2 linked regions of the Struthio camelus genome follow. The protein of the gene in region 2 purifies or fractionates together with the protein of the main gene of each other region. This does not show direct contact. Links are inferred from orthologs where the notes say so. Each region holds a gene or a part of one and is shown on either strand. Other genes may lie near its edges. The genes, in order: SOD1 and RNF19A.

Region 1 (11,875 bases), on a different chromosome or scaffold from region 2:
TTATTAGGTAAGGTTGAAACCTACAATGCTGTAACTCTGCCAGGAGGAAGCCCTGAGGCATACAGTGTCTACTGCTCTTTGGTGAGTAGTCTTGCTAGAGCTCATAAGGTGATTAAATTACAATACACTGAAATTTAAGCATTCAGCATTTGTGGTCACTATTAAACATCTTCCATTACACAGAACAAGAGTTCTAGTTAGTGAAGATAATACTTGATGATTACAGCAGAAGCTTTAGCAGAAGACTACAGAGACATTCTATCAGGGTCACTTTAATTGCAATATACATTGTACAAAATTAAGTCAGTCTTCACCAGTTTCACTGATACTTAGAATGCAAAGTAGTAATGAAATTAAGTGATAAATCTTTCTTGAACAAGGCCAGGTACAGCATTTGCAATGAAATACAGCCCATTTCTCACTGCCATCTTAAGCACTTCAGGTGCAATACTTAGCTCTTTGCTATTCCAATTACACCACAAGCTAAACGAGGTCCAGCATTTCCAGTTAATTTGCTCTCATTATCTCCCCCTTTACCCAGGTCATCAGGTTTTGCATGGACCTAAAAAGAGAATTAAAGATACTTAATCCATGTTACTATTAATAATCAACATTTCACAGCTATTTACATTAGTACTAACAGCAACAAGTAGTACATATACCTTGGCGACAGCTGGCAATAACTGACTGGTTCTTTCTACTGTATCACTGAACACCAAATTGGTACTCATGCTAAAAACCTGAGACTAGACTTGTCTGAAGAAAAGTAGCATTCAACTGAATTTTAGAACTGCAAGTTAGAAAAAAAAATCCAAGTTTGAAAAGAGTTACTACTCACCTAAGAAACATTGACCTGAAATCCAATTTCATCCTTACAACACAAGGCTGACTTACGAAGGCACAAGTGTGCCCTGGCCACTCCTTAACAAACATTACACCTCCTGGCTGCTTGGTCATCAGTCCAAGCCCGTTTCATGCAGCAAGAATACAGTGGTCTCAGCATGCACTGGAGTCCCAGGGGAAACCAGACTGATACAGTGGTCTATTATCCAATCCACAGGCTTGTTAATCACAGCATCCACACCCTCTGCCTGCCTCCTTCCCCCAGGGAGGCCATGAGGCAAATTAAGGCAACAGCCACTACAGCAGTGGTAAGGAGCACAGCCATTAAGTGCCCATCATCATGCCTTGCAATGACACAGCACTTGTGCCAGACCACCAGTTGCTTCCTCAGATAAGGTTGGTTTTTATCACTCAGCTGTAAAAAGCAAGGTTAATGGAAAGGAATACCCTCAGCAAGGCACACAGCAAGTTTCAGGATCATGGTAATAACTACCACAGTGATACATTACATTTTCAGGCAGAACTTTGGAAAAGACTCCCCAGAGTCAAAGTCTTGAGCTACAGTTTACATAAAAAAAACAGGGACAAGCCTCTAGCAGCAAGAGAACTTGCAAGACTGCTCTGGAGTTCTGCAAAGCAACTAAGCAGGCATCAAGACACTTACCACCATGGTACGTCCAATGATGCTATATGGTCCACTAAGAGAAATGAGTGGATCTTCCATTTCCACTTCTGCCACTCCTCCTTTAGCAGTCACATTGCCAAGGTCTCCCACATGCCTATACAAAGCAGCAGACAAACTTGCAGAAAGCTCAGTACATTAAATTGTATTGGTCTGGCCAATACAACACTCATCTTTACCTCCCTGAAGTATTCCACCACCTTATCTTGAAGGGTCACTGATGTTAAATGAGTGTTCCCTTCAACATTTCCACTATTGACATTTAGTTCAAGAGATTTGATTAAAATTCAGTTCTAGACAGAACTTGGAATCAAAAGGTTAATTACAACTGTGGGAAGAAACACCATGACTCCTGGCAAGGCAAGCTGATAATACACAACTCTTGCAGCTAAGAATTTCCTTCACATTTCTCTATTATAGGTTATTTCTTTGCTCAGAGGAACACCCTCAATTAGGTGAGACAATCTTTCTGCACATGCAAAGTTTGGTATAAGCGCTGCTGCTATGCTTAAAGCTTTTCATGTCTATGACAAGTCAGCCATTCTACAAGCAGCTGCAGACAAACCTGGTTTAAACAAGATTAGTAAAAGCAGTTTGCCAAGTGACAGGTCAACAGGGGATACATTAAATGCTAAGTTCTGATCAGTACTAGGAATGACTACTCCGGTTTATTCTGAATCTTCCTTTATGACATGAGTTCTACCATACAGTTTTGTTTAGAGCCAGTTTGCCACCAGGAATTCCTTGAAGAATTAAGCCTCAGGTAGCAAGTCAGTTTGCAGCTTTTGGACATTCCAGTGCATTGTTCCCAATCCATTTATCCCAAATAAAGGGGCATAGACAAGCTCATGTTCAGAGCTGCAAGACACTGACCTAGACTCAGAACCTTAATACCAGTCTGTTTCTAATAAACTCTCCAGGCATTGTGGAGTAACCAGCTCAGCTAGCTGAATGCTTATATCCGACTGTCTAAGAAGCCAGTAGTTGACTTCTATTTTCAACTAAGTCACAAAAGAGGACAAGGGCAGTTTTCCCTTTAGACATTTGCTTCATTTTAACTTCCAGGTAGTTTTAGTCCAATCTGTTTCAACTCTGTACTGACTGAAGCATGACCTAGTTCTGTTTCCATAGAGGATTCCCTAGACTACAGTTGTCTGAGCACGTAGGTTATGCTAGGAGAAGAGTTTGACTAAGCAGAACTGGCAGAAGCCATGATGTGCATGCAGTTTTGGCCTTTAGCACAGGAGCATTTGACTGCCTGGGAAGCCCACAAGCAAGCCACTTCATACTGCCATCATCCAGACAGGTGACTAGCAGCCACAGCTTGGTTTGGCAAGCAGTTGAACATTGTGCTATTCATTTATCAGTCACAGAAGTTGCGACTATGGACTTTAGGTGAGCATTTAAATCATATCACACTGCCAAGTCTACACCTATCTGTAGAAGACGGGCTGGTCTTGTACACTTGCTGCCACATTGGCCTTCAGTTCTTGCACAGCCCCTTTCCAGTGAGTATACTATTTGAGCCTGAGCAAGTGGTTTAAATAGTATGGGTATCAGACATGCAAAGGCCCCTTCAAGGAACTGGACTATGAAACTGCTCCCATGAAAAAAACTAGGCCTCAGCTCCATGTCTCAACTGCCACTGAGGCTCAGTAGTGTTCAGAACAAACAGACCCCATACTTGCACTCAGCACAGATCCCCTAAAAGAGAATGTCCTGTAAGCAGTACAGTGCCTGAGCTGACAGGTTAAGCACAGCCCAGGCTGAAAAGTTGAGCACAGCCTAGTACTCAAACCACCACCATGCCAGGCACACTCAGCTTCCTATTCATTTTAGAGTCCCCCTGCAGCTCCAATCCCTTCCCCAGATAATCCCGATTTTGCCACATAACAGGCCTGCATACAGGTCAATAGGTCCTTGACAGATGAAGGCCCATTGTGAAAGGCTATTTGCTGAGCAGGGCCCTGACACAGAAGCAAGTCACCACTGACCAAGTGGAACATTAACACATGAATCCCCTTCACCCACATCCTGAAATACCCTCACTCAGTAAAAAATAAATCTCTCTCCAAGCTGTGATTAAGCCAAGAACACATCTCAAAGACTACATCCTATCCATACTCTTGGAGCAAAGATAGCCAAGATACCATTCCAGTTAGCAGGACTTGTATTAACTGACCCTAGAAGACTTGCTGGAATTGCCAGTTTTCTCCCTAGCTTTGTCCTAGCATGATCCAGGAAGTGGTCTCCCAGGCAGAAAGGGGTCTCACTTAAAGAGCTGCTGGCTTAAAGTTGAACAGCTACCCAATAAAGGATCAGGCACATTAAACTCACCTTTCTGCATCAGTTGGTCCACCATGCTGCTTGCCTTCAGGATTGAAGTGGGCACCTGCACTGGTACACCCTGAAACAGATCAGACATCAGAAGTGTAGGTTTTCACCACAGCCAATATAAACCTGTCTACACAATACAACAAGGTAGTCCTCTCACAGAGAGAGGAAGCAAACTCTCTAATGATAAAATAGCTGTTCTCATGCCAGATATTATCCTGATCCATTGGAGGCAAGTAACCTATGACAGACTTGCAAGCCTTACTGAGTCCAATAAAATATAACGTTCTGGAATACAGAACATTTTCAGATGTTCTTGGTTTAGCTGAAAGTAGCATTCTCAGTTCTTAACACCAGGTCATCGTAGTATTTTAGTGCTTGATATATCAGGTTCTGAAGACTAGTTTAAACATGTTTAGAGTATTAACTGGGAAATAATTTGTTAGAGAATGTCATCCTTTCATAAAACAGTCTTGCAGTCACCAGACTACCAAGTACATTTCATACTAGTCAGCACTGTAACACTAGAAGAAGCTCTTTACAGCTGAACAGTCAGGATACAGCTCTAACTGGAAAGCCTAGATACAGATCTTACCATTTGTGTTGTCCCCAAACTCATGGACATGGAAGCCATGATCTCCATCATCCAAGCATTCGATTTTTCCAGTAATTTTTACTGGTCCATCACCCTTCAGTAGAAAGAGAGTTTGTTAGCACCTAAATGACTACAGTATTAAGTGGGCTAATAGCAGCACATGAAGCTTTCTGGTCAACAGAAAGCACTGGAGACTCCACTGCAAGTTCAGCAACCAACATGAATGGTTACCCTCCTGCATGAATTGATTCCATCTGCCAAGACAGCATTTCACAGAAAACTTGCATTTGTTTAACCACCTAGAAAGCATTCCTCCGATTAATCTGTCAAACAAGAGGGATGCCTTCTTTAAGATTACCTGCTTTTAGTAACCACGTGCTTCAGCATGCAAGCACAAGCAACCCCAAACATCGGTGCTCCTTCGCAGGCACAGCATTACCTCAGTACAGTCCCAGCTATGGGGAACAGCCAACTCGGGAAGCGTGGAAAAGGGCTCAGACCACGCAGCAGACTGACCCACGTAAAGTCCCACCCTGGCAGCGACAAACAGGCTTCCCAGAAGGGCTGCGGCGGGCTCCAGTAACGAGCCTTGCCAGGGGGCCCCCAGGGGCGCAACAACCGCAGGCCTAACCCTCCCCCGTCCCCCCGTGACGGGGCCGAGCCGCGGCCGAGCCCGCGCGGCCCGGGGCAGCCGCCCCCGCGCAGCGGGCAATGACTCAGCACCTGGCGAGCCCCCAAGGCCGGGGCGGGGCTGAGCGGAGCGGGCCGCCCCACCGGTCCCTCACCCGCCGGCCCTTGCCTGCTGCTCAAAGTGGATGAGGCCATGCACGGAGCTGTCCCCCTTCATCACGCACACGGCCTTCAACGTCGCCATCTTCCCGCGGCGGCCGGACGAGCGGCGCAACAGCAACAACCAACGCAGCGAGCGCCCCAGCACTGCAGAGCCGCCCCCTCCGCCCGGCGGCTCTTATATAGCGCGTTCCTCCCCCCCCAACGCCGCAGCCAATCACAGCGCGCCTTTTTAGCTTCCTCGATCAATTACTTCGCGGGTTGCGGCCAATAAAGGGGGAGGGAGCGCCGCGGCGCCCGCTGCTGAGCCAATGGGCAGGTGAGGCGCCTCCCCCGGCCGCGGGGAGCGGGGGAGGGGCGGAGGGGGGGGCGCGCCGCCTTGTGTAACGGAGGCGCTGCGGGATTGACGGCGGCGATAAACAACGGCGCGAGGGCCGCCCCGCCTCCCCCCCCCCCCCCCGGCGCCTCGCGCCGCGACCGTTGGGGCGGTTGGCCGCCGCCCCGCGGGGGGTTGGCTGCGGGAGTGGCTGGCCCAGGTAGCTCGCGTTGGTTGCTGAACGGTCGCAGGGGGTTTGTCTCTTGTGTTTGCCGGCGCCGCGACGCTCGGGCGTTCGGGAAGCGGGGTGTTTCTTAAGCAGGCTCACTTTAAACCCTTCCCCTCCCCTCCCCCGCGAAAAGGATGAGCTTTCGGTTTTTAGGTCTCACCGCGTTAGGGTTTCATACTGACGTGAAAAACACGTTTTGTGACAGGCATGCACTGAGGCAGTAAGATTAAGAATCATCCGCAGCATTTTTTTGTCATTTTCTGCAACTTTTTTTTCCCTTCTGTGTATTGTTGTACTTTTTTTGTTTGTTTGTTTCCCTACTGAGAATTCCAGTTGAAAAGCTGAGCGCGCTTACAAAGCTGCCTCAGCCTAGCTTTGCGCTTCAAAGAAGTGGCCCTGTCCAGAAGGTGTTTTGTTCCCCGTGCAAAAGCCACGGGGGTTTCCGTCTGGAGTTGGTGGTGCTGCTGCTCAGCTGCTGACTGTCAGGTTACGGTGGGCTTCTCGGAGCCCCCTTTGCCCATCGGCTGCCCGCAATCACAGGCTGGGTATCTAGTACACAGCTCAGGCAGACTTGTGCTTAACGTGGAAAGTCTCTTGGTGTAGCCGCTGATGAGGACTACTTGTCTGAGGGGTGTGTAGGGAAGAGGTGACAAATTCTCTCCGTGCTGACAAACCTTAGGCTCCGAGGGAAAATTAACATCGGACTCAGGGAGGATATATCTGTGCACTTTTGTATGAAGAGCTGCAACCTCCAAGAGTTTTAAGAATAAAATGATCGCATTTAATAAACGCCTTTTTGGTAAAGCCATGTTCCTTGTTTTCCTGCTGCATTACTGATGAGCAAGTTGAATCAGAAGTCCAAAACGATCGTATAATAGCTGTACCTTGAGGCAGTCTGCGTGTATGACTGAGGGCCCTGGTGATCTTAAGACACCTGGCAGAGAATGCCCTATGGTTAAGGAAGGGAGCACAAGGCCTGTTTCACACGTTAGGCTCAGTTTTGAATCCCAGGAATTTTATGGGGGCCTGACGTTAATTGTGAGGAACAGAGATTCGTTTGGTTGAATGGCATATTTCTCTGAGAAAGAAGCAGCAGGAAGGAAAATGCCAAATACACAGGGAGCATTAGTCTGACAGATAGATAAAATGTTTGTAGTTTGATCCTGAAAAGATGCTGAGAGAGAAAGAGAGCTGGGCTGCATCCCAAATAGGAGGCGTCTCGGCACTGAGAGTTCATGATCTTCCTGGAGTTTAATTCCTGCTGTGCATGGAGAGAAAAGACTGTAAATTGCTCATGAACAAAGAAGTCTGTGGTAATGGCACAACCTCCATCATCCTGAATGTTGGCTGGATCAAAAGGAAATATTTCAGTGCCCTCAAGGCAAATGTTGTTTGATTTAAAAAATGGCTTGTAAACGTGGAAGGATAGTAGTGACTCATTATGCTATCTACCATCTTTGGCTTCCGATGTCCTTTTTTTTTTTTTTTGTCAGTGTCTTTTCATAAGGAGAAACATCTTGAGTGCTTTGCTATGGTGCTTCTTCTTATTCTTAGGCCTGTCTCCAGATCTGCCTTGGTTTTTATCAGACAGATTTATTCTTTCTTTCCTGGAGATAAGTTCTCAAGATCCACCCTTCTTCATGCCTCTACATGAATGTACGACAAGCAGATGGATAAGCAGCTCTACCAAAGAGAAGAGCCAGATGTGCCAAGCCTCCTCATACGTAAAGTGAAGTAATAATTTCAGAAGTTTGTCGCATTAGGTGTGACCAACAGGTTACAGAGTTCTATGAAAAAAGCCTGAACTCTGAGATGCCTGATCTCTCAGATAGAGTGCAGCTGACAAAGATGACATGTTAAGAGACAGCGTAGAGGTCAGCGGTAGAAGGCTAAAGGAAAGATATGATTTTGAAGGACTAACATACAAGAGTTTGTATGGTATGTGCAGATCAGTAATCACGTACAGGCTGTGGCCTCACCCTTTAGAGTGTTTTCTATTCCTACATGCGGTACAATAGTAATACAAAAATATTGGTTTACATGAATACTCTTTCACAGGAGTCTTGCGTAAGAAGCTAGAGATTTTTTTTCCCCACATACTTCCTTTTCACTCATTTCACTCATTTCACTTTTTACTTTCTTAAATCTTGCTAGCAGGGAACATTTTTTGTGAAAATCCACCACAAAGAAGTTGAACAAAGTGTCTGGTGGCAGTAACACATTGGTTTTTTTATTCAGAATATCAGAGTCAAACCAGAGAGGAAAGAACAAACTGCCAGGTGGGATTACTAACTTTGATAGCATGAACTACAGTCAGACAGGCGATTTGTCAGACATAAGAAAGGAAGTGTGGTCTCTTGCAACTTTGGCAGTTACTGTTTGACACCAAAGCCCCACTCTTTTTTGACCTATACTCTTGTTCTGCCATCTTACCTTGGAAAAAGTCTAAACTCGGGCCTGTTCGCACCTTCATAGCTGCAGTGATAACAAAGAGGACTGAACTGGAGCCCAGAGGGTTGAAGCAAGTATGGGAGTGACAGGCTTAGGGCTAGGTGGACACATGATTTTGAATATTTTCTCCATTCTGCAATTGGCTACATAGTGTATCCATTTTAGCAGGGGAATGAAGCCGTTCTTAGTGTTGGTCAAAAGGGCTGCTCACATCGCATAGAGAGACTCGCAGGTAAATCTCTGAAGAACTAGGATTCATGTTAGCCCTGATTGTTTCCTAATTTGCCAACTTAAAGCGCTAACGGCAACAAATGAAGTAGTGTGTCATGTGGGTTAACAGATGTCTAATCTACATAGACTCATCAACTAATCAACTTCTAAGCAAAACGTGCAAAAATAACAAAAAATCCCAAACTTTCTGTACTGTAAAAATATGGCATCCATCAAGCATTAAGCCTCTGCAGCACATTAACTCGCATTCTGATTCAGATTTTATATTGATTAAAAAATTAGAAGTTCAGGAGTTATGGTTCCCATGACAACCATACCTCTGAAGCCTTGTGCAAATGTATAGTATTTCTACTTCTGATGACTCTTCTGGAAAGATATGAGGTGAAACTAAGATTGCCATGGGAAGCATCATTCCAGGTCTCTTGAGCTTCTGTGCATAGGTGCTCACCCATCAAGATTAGATACGTTATTAATCTACGTTAATGTCATTTTTATGTTTATTCTTTCACAGTAACAAAGGTGAACTGAAACAACATGAATAATAATTCTTTCTGTAGGACCATTAATTCCTTGAATGTGCATCTCTGAAGGGGAGGCTGCTGGCAAGATTAAGTGCAGGTGAGCTTATTCTAGCATGCCAGGAAAGGAAACAACCATTACTTCTCTGCAGCCTCACGTTCCAGCAACTGAGGATCCTAGCAGGGCTGGATCAGAGCAGTCCTTCCTCCTGCTCTGGGAGCAGATTTATGGCTATTCTGAACCCATTTTTGCATCTCAGTGGGTGAGTGCGTTCTGTTTAGCTTAAAGGCCTGATTACACAAAGACAGTGAGCAGTGGCTTCCCGCTGCAGTAAATGCGTTGCTTGCCTGGTCTTCTTATCTAAAGCTTCCCTTCAGAAATGTGGAAGCTAAATTCCCAATGTTGGTATCAACTTGTGCTGTGGAATCATAGAAGACTTGTAGCATTTGGGAATCACTTAATACATAGAGAACACAAGATGTGCATGTCTGTTCAGGCGTACCCAGTAAGGAGAGTGCTGTACTGCATGTAGATAATTCTGTATTATGAATGGTCTAGAAGACGCTTGTGTGTGTGTGTATGGCGGGGGGGAGGTGGGGGGGAGGTCCTTCAGAGTCCCACAGTCTAGATCCTAAATGCTAAAATCTGCAAAAATCTAATGCTTGCCCTGTCCTTGGACTCAGCTGTCTACACATAGGTGTCTAGCCCCATCTGTGATACCTCCAGGTATCTCCTCTGGCCTCTAGCTGCTGCTGCAGGAGGGGTCCTTGAGCTCCTGTTGCCTACCTGCCAGCCCCTGTGCCCCCCTTCAGGCTCTCTGTTGCATTCCAGAGAGCCCCAAACACCTATCCTGAAGAACCCAATCCAACCCTGAGCCTTTGCGTTGTCCTGGAAAATGCATCGTGTGCCATTAAAGTCTTCCCATTTGATTACATGTGGGTAATGACACTTCCCTACCTCTGAGGGATTCTGGGAGAGGTAATTAACTCAGTTAATGTTTGTATAGCATTTTGAAGATGAAAAGCACTGTGGAAATCAGGAGTTATTACATTAGAAACTTTGTGACAGACTCCCTAGTGCAAAGCATGTAATTCCAATTAAGAGTTAGTAGAGCTGATAACCAAAGTATTCATATAATTAAAACAGTGCCAGCCTAGAAAGGCTTTGAATGGAACATAAAAGATTAAACATAACATTCACTTTTGACATCTTGTTGTCCTTTTAGTAGCTAAATTGAGGTATTAAGTCCCTAATTCTGCGTTGCTGTACAAGCTGAGTACACTTGAAATATGATCCTCAGAGGACAAGTTTGTGTAAATATTGGTGAAGACCTTTGTACCCAGCACCAGCACTTGAGGCCACAAGTTACGACAACCCTTCTCAGGCACTGGTGCTATTCACGATCTGTCCGCTGAATTTTTTTGCTGGTTAACATTCAAAGAGCTGGATTTTAAATACTTCAGACAGGGCCAAAGCCTGCTCGTGTTACTCCAGTGTGTATTTCTGGTGAATCCAATGGATTATGCGGTTCCCCTGCTGAACCACCACAGGACTGGCCGTTTCCACTCTCCCTCTGGGGAGTTTGGGGGCCCTGCTGTGCAGAGAGCTGGTGATCTAAAAGTCAGCAGTGCGCGCTCTGCGAAAGCAGTGCAAAATGCATGCTTAACGCTCCTTCTTTCACCCATACATCCTAGTATAGGCTCGCTCTTAGGAAACTAGGAGGTACATGCCAGAGCATGACAGTGGGAATAGCTGGAAGAAGGTACTTCTGTCAGTACCTGCAGGCAGGAGAGACTTTCAGACCAGGTTCCTAACAGCTACCAGTGGGCAATTAAAATGTTTATAGTTTTATTATATTAGTAATGCTATGATATTGTTTACCTAGGGTTCTCCCAAACAGCAGTAGCCTATAAGAGAGTCTCTAGACTTTTTTTTTCTTCTCCTCCGAAGGCTGTGTAGACCTTTGACTACAAAATTTCAGAGAAAACTGGGTTCTTGGAGTTTCTCCTGAGCATGTTCAGTCCTGCAGCGCCCCCATTCAGACCTCTCATGCAAGAGCTACATTTTAACCACCATTTACATGGGACAGGCCACCTTTTGGTGAATTGTCCCATCAAAACATTTTAGGAGATTGAAATTAAGAGCACAAAGCAGCTAGGAGTTACTAGCACGATTATGGTTTGCAAGACAAGTTGGTTTGTCACATTCACACAAAAGGATTCTGTGGATTCTCTGGGGTTTGCAGAAATAATAATTGGCACATTTTCTGAGTCCTTTGTGAGAGCTGCAGCGACAGCACAAAGTGATCCTCTGGAGTAGTGCAATCAAACTGAATTGCGAGGTAGCATATCTGAAGTTTAGAATGGCTTTTAAAGTATTAACTAAGTGGTTTTTGTACTTGAGCTTGAATAGCTTCTATCAAATCCAAAGAATATTTTGATTAAAGTAATGAAAAGGCATAATTTCAGCCTTTCCACCATCACATAGTGACTTTGCATATTGGCTTCCGTGAACTGATGTGACTTTCTCTACAGTTTATCCTGATAACCTGCTGCTGTATTAACCCTTTTTCTCCAGCTCAGTAACTCTATCGCTGCAATGTTTTGACATAAAAAAAACCCCATGAATTCTCCCAAGAAAAAGGCAAAGGAGATTATCACAAAAATATCTATTTAATTGCAATGAAAATCTTTGCTTTGCTGCCAGTCCCAGCTGTTCAAAAAACTCTTGGATCCTAAAGTCACAAGAGGTAATCCCCCTCACAACTGTTTACGCTCCTTTAATTTTCTTCTTGTTCTGAGCCATTAAAATAGGACTTTCACAATTTTTCTGTGCTCTTCTCTATGAGTGGCTACAAATGCACTTGAAAGAAATCTGGGACTCTCA
Region 2 (11,702 bases):
ATTCTTCTGGAGGACTCCGTGTCATCTGTGGCAGACCACAGCCACAGCGCATGCTGAGGTGGGACCTCCAGAAGCACCAAGTGTCCCTTCCTCCCCCCATCCAGGTTTATTTGTGAGAGAACCTGTAGATACAGGTGAGCATCACCAAGCAGTATTACACAGTAACAGGGCAACCGATGGACAAGGACTTTGGGGTGCCTTCAGTGTGTTAACATGTGAGTATGGATGCACTGTTTGGGACTCTGAGGACAGCTAAACCTGAGGAGACATTAACTCTTCAAGGAAGGACAAATCTACAAGTTCTTTGGCTCTGTAGAAGATGGACTCACACTTGAAGGACCCTAGCTGATTTGAGATAAACTTGAGAAAAAGTGTAGGCCTTTTGAGCAGAGCTATTTCCACCATGACTTTAATCTTTTAACATCTAGATGTTGATGAAAAAGCTATTTAAAAAAAAAATCTCAAGCACTTTACCTTTATGCAGTTCTTCCCCCTACCCCACTGCCCCACTGTTCTTGCAGGTGAAATAGCAAAAACATTCTTACTCAAGCTTTCCAGAAACAATTTCACCTTTGGGCAGAGACTAAGCACATAACTTCTCAACCCAGAAAAACAGAAGTTTCAGTCTGTTCGGAGTAACAGAGGGGGAAAACCCAGGGGACTTGTATGGAAACAGTGTTGTGCAACAGAAACCACAGTCTGCTGCTTTTCACAATACAACTCTTACTTGGCTTCCTTTTTCCACCAAATTAAAGCTACCTAATGATACAGAGAGTGATAGCAGCTGACCTTAAAAAAAGGCTAGATCCAAGAAAGGTCATAGGTAGCACATGCGCATGTTGCAACTCCTCACCTTTGGGTACCCAACTTCCAGAACAGACTCCAGAATTTAGGTGTTATGTCTAGAAGTGGAGTTTTAGATGTCCAAGAAATTTTAAGCTCATAAATGGGTCATTTTCAGACTTTTGGTACCTTACAATTTGAGTGACATCTGACTTTTTAAGAGCAACATTTTTTCTTTTAGGCACCTAGATTTATCTAAATCTTTCCATTCTCTTTTTGATGGAGGAAGCGTATGGCTCTAAAAAACTCGGAAAATCGGTGCATTATAAAATGATACATTGAAAAAGTAAAAGGATTTCCAAACAGAAAAAGAACAAACAAAAATAACCCAAATATCATTTCATCTGTATTGAAAAATTTATTAATGGCCTAGCTGTGTGGCAGGAAATGTGCAGGCCTGGTAGATTTTAGAGGAACTGGGCTGATAAAAGGGTTTCTAATTTTTTTTGAATTAGAAAATAATTTTTTTTAATTTCTAAAAAATGTTTTGAGGGTAGCAGAAGAGCAATCCCCTCCTTTCCGCTCCACACGCTGCTTATAATCAAAATACAATATCTGGCACTAGCACGCAGAAGAATATGGCTGGCTGCTATACTCACACGCTTTGCCTTTGCATAACATTGTTGATAATTTCCAGTAGTTCATGTCAAGCAAACACTCTGTATTTCATACATCATGGGATTTCAGTACAGGAAAAACTGAACACAATTAATGAGATCTTTCTCTATAAATAATAGAAAGTGTCCTGCAGAGCCAATCTGGTATTTGTAGTGCGATGGACTTGATGATTTGCTGCTCTCTTCTCCCTGTACACTGTATGATTAACAGCTTCCAGGAGTTGGCATAAAACACAATCTGCCATCTAAATTCAGATGTCATATGGTTAGCATAACTATCACTTGGTTAACTGGTTGCCCAGTCTCTCCAGTTTAGATCAATTACATTTAATCTGTTGTGCCATGAAAAACATGTTCATATGGCCAATTGTTGCTGTTACCATGTCAGACAAAGTGCCAAAAAATTTGGCAACAATTAGATTTATTGAGGGGAAACTTTAAAAATCAAGGGCTCCCTCCTGCAATTGAATTCTCCATTTAATAAGCTCCAACTTGTGCTCATTACTTAGAAAAATCTTGCTGAAGTCAGTAGGAGTCTGACCACAGAAGACAACGTGGTATCAAGCCCTCACACAATAGTCTTCCTTCTCAGTTTCGTAAGAGAAAAAGCTGGAAAGAAGCATATTCAATTGTTTTAAACAGATTTTCTTTCTTGGGGCAGGAATGTTCTGGGGCCGGGCCTGTAGTTCTAGATATCTTAAATTTTCTACTCTTGCTTTTTCTTTATTGACTACCGCAGAAACATGGTATCATTTCTGAATACTGATTAGATCAAATGATGTAACTCTAAGATATCTGAGATGTTTGATATGCCTATGGAAGTCTGCATCTTTAATGTTTAATGACATGCTGAGAATTTGGAAGTTCTTGTTTAGGACATTGTTTACTGATATCTTGCCGCTTTTTAGCTTGGATCATTGAGAAAGGGCTATATCTACTTCATCTAGTTCTATTTGACACTAATCCATCTTTCCAGGCATTTAAAATGTGCTTGTCATCATGGTGCCCCAGCACTTAAATATCCTTTCATTTTAGCTTCAAGGTCATGTTGCCTTTTGAGAAAATCCTAATCTGGATTTCTTCCACAGTATACATTTTTTAATCTATTGCACTCAATACAACTGATGATGACAATTAGCTAATGGTAAATGATTTGGGGTTGGAGGGGAGAAAGGGAAACAGAAACCTGAAAGAATTCAAAACCTATTCTTGTCTCTGTGCAATTTGAATCTTACCTTACCAATATGTAATATGTTCATCACTTATATACTGATATTTATTAGTATTGTCTATTTCTCCATGCATATACCTTACTGCAAGTATTTACGGTCTAAATACTGGTCTAAAGAGATGTTTTGCTACCAGTGGATATTATAGATATTTTTGGTCCATCAAAGGCTTTTGTCCTGTCTTCCTCAGGTGCAAGTCAAAACGCAATTCCACACTGCATTTTCTCAAACAGGAAAATTGATCTACACGGGCCTCTGCCTTAGCCTAGTCATGTGTTCCTGCAGCCACTTCAATTCTGTGCCATGGTTTTTGTGCTAATGCAGCTTTTTGTGGGGCAACACTGTAAGCTAGATTAGTAAAATGAGGAGTGCAAAAAGAAACCCTCCAGAAGAAAAAGTCTTTGGCTGGAGAATGTAGAAAAGTGGTGAATCCCGAAACAAGTGGTGCTCTTCAGAGCAAGGTGAGACAAAGGACAGGGACATAAATCAAAAGAGGTTGAGGATGTCTCTTTGCCCTTAAAAAATGAGGGACCGGAGACCAGGTGACAGCAAAGGCTGCAGGAACTATGGAATGATTTTTAGAAAAAGTTTGGTTTTGGTATTCTTAAAGTTTAAGCTAATGGCTGAATATTAAAAAGAAAAAGGAATTCAGAGAGAGACTCATATGTAGGATCAGAGAGATGGAAACATTTACCCATTAAATTTGATATTCTTCCAACATAAGTTTAGAGAAAAGAACATAAACGCATTAAATTTGGGGCCAATGTCCTGTATTTCACAGTGCCCTTTTATATGAGACAGTACTGCTTCATAATACTGAAACTATACTGAGACCAGCAGTCAATGCAAGCATAGATTATGTGAAGGATTAGTGTAAATCAAGAGAAGGTTATCCATGTCACATCTTTTCTCCACTCCCTACCAGTAGGAGAAAAAGCACTTTCACCTCTCAGTTCTCTCTGCTTACCTCCTCTCTTCACGCTGATAAGATTTTTTGCCTTTCCACGCTTGACAGTGTTCTGTACACTTATGTCTTTTTAGAACATACCAGATGTTCCGTTCTGAGGGTAGTACTTTTGTATTCTGATAAACCACTTTGTACTTTTCTGCCAGCAGCTGAATTAAACGCCCAGCGATCTAGACAGAATGTTTCACTCCCAGCTATTCTCCAGAAAGTGTTGTAGAAAGACAGGCTTGTTTGTTTTCATAAATCTTGTGTGCTTCATGAAATGCAGTGTGCATGATATATTTCCTCTCTGTTAAAAGGTTTGGACAGCCCCTACTTTTTCTTAATACCTCTTTGTCATCTTGCTCTGTAATAAAAAAACAACTAGGCAAGCAAGCAAACATATCCTCCCTACAAATCAGAACAAGCCTCTGTCAGTTTTTGTGTACTGACAAAATGCAGGAAGCATTCTCTTTCCTCACTGCGCTTTCTGTATTTTGCTCATCGATGATTTTGAATGCTTTTGTCAAAAGGCACCTACTTAGCTGCAGGCTCTCTGCTGCATGTCTCTCAGGGGAGTTGCAGGCTGGAGTTTTCAATTTGCCCCTCGTCAGATTTCAAGGAGAAGCCATCTGATGCCATAGTGACCATCCAGAATTTTAAAACATCGGGACGCTGTGCCCCTCCCGATATCCAGCACTAGCCAAGAGACTTCAAAATTTTTTTTTACTGATTTGCTGAATTCCTCTCGATATTTAGAAAACCAATACATTGCTGCATTGCTTTGCTTCTGTTGTTGTTGTTTTGTTTTGTTGTAATTGGCAGTTGCACATTAAGTTGCTAAAAATGTCTGCTGTTTCCATTCTAGTCTAATTCTGGTCACTCTTTGTTCATCTATTTTATCATACTACATGCATCTGCTATCCTAGTCTTCCTGTTCCCCTCTTCTTGCCTTTCCTTTCTCTCCCTCAGTTTATGAACTTCACTTCTCTTTCTCGACATCAAATTTCACACATAAAAAAGCACGCAAGACTATCCTGCAAAGTTACGTTTAATATTTTTCTGCATACCTTATCCAACGGAATACAATGGGACTTCTTAAATGCATTAAGTAACTTATGTACATAAGGGTTTGTAGTACTGGAGCCTAAGTAATTCATCTAGCTACTAGGTTTAACAAGCAAAGAAGGAACTGCCGTGATTTGCATACAACATACCAAAACTCCAGGATAATCTTACTGCAGTTATCCTTACTTTCCATTTCCCCTCCCTGATTGTTGTAATCGCCCATTCTGTCATTTCAGATGAAGCACTTCACTATGGAAAGACTTGCATCCACACTTCATTTTATGTACTGCACATAGTCCCTATAGACTTAAATGGAACAGTGCACATAAATAAAGTGTATGCATAAGCCTTCACCACACTGAACATTGTAAATTCCACAGGACAAGCACGGTACATTTTATTTGTTTTAAAATATCTACCCACGTTAAATGCAGGTTGGATAAGGAGTAACTATTTCCAGAGCAAGCTTTTAGGATTTCATACCAGCTTAATGGAAGCACTGCTATTCATCTGTAAGTACCAGGATAAATTCCAGTTCTGGAGAAATCAGAGATGACACTAGAGAGCATGAGGAACTGACTCGAGAGAGAAACAAAGGGACAGAATGTAAAGTCAAGGTAATATTGATATACGCAAACAATTTTTTAAGTGTAGTAGAGGAGAGGGATTTGGAGTCAGCCCAGAAGCGGAGGTCAACAAAAGCGAGCCCGTTGTGTGAGGGGGTGGACAGTTAAGAAGATATTACTGCAGACATTGGGAGCCCTATGAAATAAGTTGCAAAGGTCAAAATTAAAAGGCGATAAATACAGAAACTAGAGCAAAGGGGAGAGGCAAGCTCCCGAGCACAAGAAGCGGCAGGTGATCATTTTCGCTACTGAATACTGGCGTCCAGGAAGGCAGAGAAGCTGACTACAGTTAGGCGGAGAGAGAACAGGGTCACGCACTGAAAGAAAAGTCGGGATTTTTTTTTTTTTTGTTTTCCAGACAAATCCTGAAACGGCTGAGCTTTTAAATGGCAACAAGAGGGCTGGCAAGAAGAAACGTCCGTATTTTACCGCGCGGAATCCGCCCTCATCAGCGACATGACCCCGCCGAAGCCCCTCAGCAGCCCGCCCCCGCCCCGCCGCCGCGGCCGCACAGCGTCCCGCAGCGCAGGCCACGGCCCCTCCCTGCCGCCGCCGCCGCCGCTCTCGGCCCGGCCGCTAACCGCCTCCCCGCCCCCACGAAACGCAGGCCGCCCCGGGCCGGGGCCACGCGAAACTCCCCCCCTCCAGCCGCCCCCTCCGCGACGCGCCAGGAGCGGCGCAGCGCCGCCGCCGCCGCCGCCGAGGCGGGGGACAAGCCCTCACGTTAACGGCTGCGGGGCAGCGCCCTGCGGGAGGGCGGCGGCGGCGGGCGTCGACTGTTGCGCGGCGGAGCCGCCCCGCCCCGCCCCGCCCCTTCCCAACGGCCGCGACCCGCGGAGCGGGGGGCGGCGCGGAGGAGGAGGAGGAGGGACGGGCGCTGCCGCCGCCGCCGCCGCCGCGTGCGTGAGCTCAGCGCACCGCGGAAACCACCCGCCCGGGCGCCGCCTTCCCCCCTCTGCCCGGCCCGCCCCGCGCCGCCGCGCAGCTGGGCTCGGCCCAGCCCGGCCCGCCCCGGCCGCGGCAGCGCCGCCCCCTCCGTCGCTGGCTCACACCCCCTCCCCCCCCCCCCCCACAGACAGACGCTTCCTGCGTGGGGCCGGGCCCCGGCGGAGCGGGGCTGCTTCCTGCCGCCGACTCGCAGGTACCGGCGATGGGCCCGCGGCGGGCAGCGGGAGCGGGCGCGGGGCGGCCCCCGCCTCCGGCCTGCAGCGGGGGCCGGCAGCAGCCGCCGCCCTGAGCGTGGCGGGGGGTGGAGCGGAGCGGAGCCCTGGCGCCGGAGCCGTCTCTAGGTGGGGGCCCGAGCGGGGCCGGGGTCGGCGGTGCCGCGCTGCGGCCGGGGCCAGCGGCCGGGGCGTCGCGGCGGCCGGAGCAGAGGGAGGCGGCGGCGGCCGCTGCTCGCATTGCTGGAGGGTGAAGTCATCGTGCCCATTGTCTCCCCTCGGCTCCCCCCGGGCGGGCGGGGGCCTGTCCCGCGGCGGCGGCGGAGCGGGGCACGGCCGACCCCCGCCGCCGGGCCGCGTTTAGCTTGGCGGCGGCGCGGGGGGGCCGCGGGGCGCCTCCAGCTGCCCTGGCCCGGCCGGGGCAGAGCCTTGCCGGGGGCAAGGTCCGGCCGCGGAGCGGCTCCCTGAGCTCGCTCCGGGCTCGCTCTCCCTCAGCGCGGGGCCGGTGACTCGGGGGCGGGCGGGAGCGCAGAGGGGTTTCGCGCGGCCAGGGGAGGTTCCTGCCGCTTGCAGGACGCCTCAGCTGTGAAGGTGGCGGCGGGGCAAGCCGCGAGGGTGGTCAGCGCCTTGTGCGGTGTCCTCGCTGGGGAGGCAGCGGGAAGGGGGGAGCCGGCGCTCTTAAAAGCCAGCACGCGTGTTAAGAGCGAAAGAGCTGAAGAGGTGCTGGTTGGCAAAGGGGAGGTGTGCTCCAAGGCTCTGCGACCGGAAAAAAAAAAGGGGGGGGGGGAGGTGGCTATGGCAAGGGGACTGTGGTGGAAGGCAGAGAAATCACAATTTGAAGCCTTCGTGCCCTTGTGTGGACTCTTATTGCAAATGTGCCTGTGCTTCTCTGGGAGAAGCACAACAGATCTTGTTTCTGTTAAAATACTGTAGTTGGCATTGGTGCTGTTCAGTGCTTTATCTCAATTGTCATCAAGGACAGCCTTATTTTAAAAAAGGGCAGAGGGCAGTTCAGGAAATGGATCTTGCAGCATTTAATTCCGTTGATTAGTCATCAGTTTGTTTCTTTTAAAGTAACTATTTTCCTTAATCTTAATTTTGAATTACAGGTTAAAAAAAATCTTTTTTTTTTTTTTTTGGAACTGAAGCATAGGTTCTCAATTGCCCAGTTAACAGAATTCACTTGTGTGCATAAAAACAGTGACTGTCCAGTGTCAGTTAATAATTGCCTGAAATTTTACCCTTATTTAGCTGTAAACATTTAAATGTTCATACTCAAAGCTGCTCATGAAAGCTGAGAAAACACTTTTTAAATTGCATGTGAATTAGACCTTTTGGGACCAGGAAATGAAAATTTCACTTTCTTTTGCATAATGGCAATAATGCTACTCTTAAACACAAGTCTAATAAAGGATAGACATGAGATCCCTTTCCCATATGCATTTTTGTTGAACTATGCCAGTTTTAGTTTTGCTTTATAAAGTTCTTGTTGGAGGAAACAACTGTTTGTTGGTCATCTCTTAAGTGAACTAAATTCTGAATTCTAGCTGTTGTCTTCATGTTGTCAGCTATTTCTGAGTCTGAGGGCATCAGATCATTATTTCTAAATGAGGGAGTTGAAATCTGTGTGCATGTAGTTTTCTGTCTCTTGCCCTCCCCCGAAATCTTCTAGCCAAATGGCGCCTTTCCTATGTAGAGCAGTCATCAGATTTCAATTAATTATGCCAGCAAAGGTTCAGGAAAAAGGAAGATACTTGACAGATGTATTTGTTTACCTTCGTAATGTGTACAAATCCTAATCTCTGTGTTAGTAAATGAATCATTAAAACTCCCTTAGCCATGGGATTCCCAGATAACAATAATATGTGCTGTGTGTGAATGTTATCAGTCTGTGAAGGAGCACAAGTACTTGAGGTCTTTTGGTAGCTAGGTAGAGCCTTTTGTAATTGAAAATGTGCCTAAGTTTTCTTATTCATTAACAACATTTTATTACTACTCCCCATGACAAAAACAAACTTCAGGAGCCCTAATGGTAGCTGTCCCCCTAAATTTGTTCAATGGGTAGGTGATTTTTTTTTTTTTACTCAATTTTTTTTCTTTTCAGTTTGCTTGGAATTTTTTGCTCCTCACTAAAGTGCACCTCCCAAAGGTGTTTTTTTTTCTCTTCGAAGCAAGCAAAGTAGGAGGCCTAAATCTTTTCATAGGACTTCTGAATCCTATTTTGAAAGTGCTAAGAAGGGTCTTTGAACTCTGAAGTGCAGCTACACTGTTCTGCACTGCTTTCCTCTGATGGCCTTTAGCCAAGGTCATGGTCTCTATTATGGGGTCAGGTTACGCTGGCCCACAGTCGGACGTCCATAATTAGCTTTGTGATTTATTTTCTGGATAGTATCTTAGACACCACACACCAGCCTAGTAGAACAATTTTTAATACCTGACTAGAACAAGTTGATGAATACATGATTTAGTTGCCACTCATCTTGATCTGAAGTCTGATGTCCTTGCAGTAGTAATACAAATGTGCATGATAACACCGGCTTATCCACAAGAAAGTTAATTTCGGTTTTTCTCTTTTTGCATTTGTCTTAGCTCTAAATTTCTGTTGTCCCTTCTCTGTTAACTGATGGAAGATGTGTAGCCGAATGAATCAGTGCGTATACACGCTTCAAGATACTAAGAATGATGTTGGATATTATATTGCTAAATACATCTGAATTGCAAAATGGAGGTGGACTTCCACCAAGAAGGTAAAACTTACTTTGAGCCTTAGAGATTTGGTTGTTTTTAATAGTGTTGTACCTGAATTTTGGCAATTTCTTTTTTCTTTTGCTGTAGCAAGAATATGGAAGTCTATGTCTGTACCTAGAAAATAGCTTGCTTGTTTCTTTGTTTTTTAAATAATGTTCCTAATTTTTATCAAGAGGGGAATTCCTTTTATTTTTGATTCTCTGAACTGGAAGTTTTGACTGTGATTTAGTCTAATTATAGGCCATTTTTAATAATTAGATTTTTTTTTTTAAATCCACAATGAAATAATTTTAAGGACAAATCAGAGCCTTTTGTGTTGTATATAGACCAGATGTCAGATATGCTGTGCTCTACTTAACTAGAAAAAAAAATCCAAATGAACTAAAAACTTCCCCCTCAATTCTTCCCTATGTTTTTTACTATTTGAAGTAGAATTTCAGTCTCTTCTTAAGCTTTCACTTAAAGGTTACTTCAAAAGATACTTTGGGCGTTTTTATCTTCTTTTTTTTAGATGAGTTGTGGTAAGTTATTATGTAAGATCTTTGGTCGTTTGCTGGTGTTTAGGGATTTACGGATTTCATCCAGAATTCTGTGAATTAGCATTCACCTTAGCATCCCACATTTTCTTGTAAGGATATTTTTTAGTTGATGAGATCAATGGAAGAGTCTTTGCTGCTCTGAGTCATAAGAAGGTATAGTGGTCTTCAGTGGTCTCTGGTTGTTTCATGTGCATTTCTGGCAATTCTCAGTGCACTGTAGCAGCTCGATTTTGACTGCTGGTCCTTTCTCTGGCAGGCTTTGCTCTTCTTTTCTCTTTCTTCTATTAGTGCAGCACGCTCGCGTGCTGGCTCAAGGATCCAAAACGAGGAATGGACGATATCTAAAGAGAACTGTAGATGTTTTATGTAACTAATATCTTACAGGCCTCAACTGCAAGTTACCTTGTTGTGTGTGTGGCCTTATACCTACCACTTAGGAATAGTGTTTGAGTTCTTGAATAACGTGGTAGAGTATCGGAGGATCAGCTAGAATTCAGAGAAGCAAGAAAAGCTCTATAGCTGAGGTGCAAGATGTCCTTTGTGATTTAACTGTTAAGTCTTTCCTCATTAGGGCAAGCGAGGAGGGCCTTGACTCATTCTTTTACTCGACTTCAGAAGTCGAGGCACACTTCTAAGAGAAGATTTGACCTCACCGTTACGTTAGATTTATCTATGGAATAAGGAAAAGTAGGAGTGTTTCCATTACTGCTTTTCAAGGGAAAGGCTGCAGTAGGGTTTTCTACTCTTCAGTATGTAAACTGTAGATTCAACTCGGTCACCTGTTGGATGACTAGTAGTATCTTGTTGGGCAGGTAGCTGAAACACTGCAACTGTAATTGCCTTTTGCAAGATGAAAATAGCTATAGAAGAGTGTATTTTTTCTGAAGGGCGAGTTCCAGCAGGTTCGCTTTACATCTAGATACTACACCAAACTGGAAAGCTGATAGAAGAATTACTTTAACCTAAAGCAACTTAGCACAGAGATCTAATGAAATGAGCTTAAATAAAAATTGCATATACACAGGTGTTTCCTCAGGCATTAAAACTTCCTCTCTTTAGAGGCCAGCATATCCCCTAATGATGTCTTCAGCAAGATGTTTGAAGGGCACCTTGTAGCAATTCAGTTTGGTATAGTTACTTGTTTTTTTGCCGCTTAAGTAAAGCACAACTGTGTTAATGCAAGTATCCTGTTATTGTTCACTGCAAGCTGTCGTTGTGGGACTATGTCAATTCTGCTCTGTTGCCATTTATAGTTGAGATAAATCACTGTTAAACAAACACTTTTCCATAGGTCCTTTAGCTGTTCCCATAAGGCAGATTAGAGCTCTTATTCCAAACTGGAGCCCCTGGCTGTCCCCTTCAATTGTTCCATTTATTGCTTGAAGAGCAGCTCCAGCAAGGGACCTTACTCTGGAGAAACTGTTTGAAATAAGGATCTTGTTGCTTTGTTCTCACTGTGAGTCACTGAGGCTACATATTCTCAATAAATAGAAATATCAACTTTTAAGTTTCTCAGTTAATGATCAGATAATTACTATAAAACCAAATTGTCCAGGCTACATCAAATTAATCCACTATTATTTTTATTCAGATATGCTGAAAATGTAAGATAGTTCCTCTGCTGTTCTGCTTAGTGCACAAATTTACCATGTACGTTTCCAGAAAATGGTTTGTAAGGAGCGCAAAGTGATCCTGGACCTCAGAGGGATCTCCTGAATGCTGGAGGTCAGGTGGGAAGTCCTGGACTAAAGATTTTAGCTGAGCCATGAGGATTTCACAGTGCTATATAGCTAGCTTATTTGATATGTTGACACCACAGTGATTTATATTTCTTAGGACCCAAGGAATTGGGTGCCATATGCTCAACCCAGATTCAGTGCTGCAGCTCTTTGTATCAGGATCTGGTTGTACCTTGACAGTGAATGT

The links.
Region 1: the proteins of RNF19A (region 2) and SOD1 purify together in Homo sapiens (affinity purification with western blotting, with the first as the bait; 3 studies listed by BioGRID). This does not show direct contact. The link is inferred for Struthio camelus from reciprocal best matches to the Homo sapiens genes RNF19A and SOD1.

The regions. Positions count from the first base shown.
Region 1 is NC_090942.1:119,550,342-119,562,216, reverse strand, and holds the start of SOD1 (superoxide dismutase [Cu-Zn]), read right to left. Parts: upstream 5,702-11,875; 5' UTR 5,329-5,701; coding exon 5,254-5,328; intron 4,549-5,253; coding exon 4,455-4,548; intron 3,933-4,454; coding exon 3,863-3,932; intron 1,623-3,862; coding exon 1,508-1,622; intron 563-1,507; coding exon 452-562; 3' UTR 1-451. UniProt on the Homo sapiens protein: Destroys radicals which are normally produced within the cells and which are toxic to biological systems.
Region 2 is NC_090943.1:146,381,541-146,393,242, forward strand, and holds the start of RNF19A (E3 ubiquitin-protein ligase RNF19A), read left to right. Parts: upstream 1-6,316; 5' UTR 6,317-6,470; intron 6,471-6,484; exon of another isoform or gene 6,485-6,618; intron 6,619-9,078; exon of another isoform or gene 9,079-9,236; intron 9,237-11,702. UniProt on the Homo sapiens protein: E3 ubiquitin-protein ligase which accepts ubiquitin from E2 ubiquitin-conjugating enzymes UBE2L3 and UBE2L6 in the form of a thioester and then directly transfers the ubiquitin to targeted substrates, such as SNCAIP or CASR.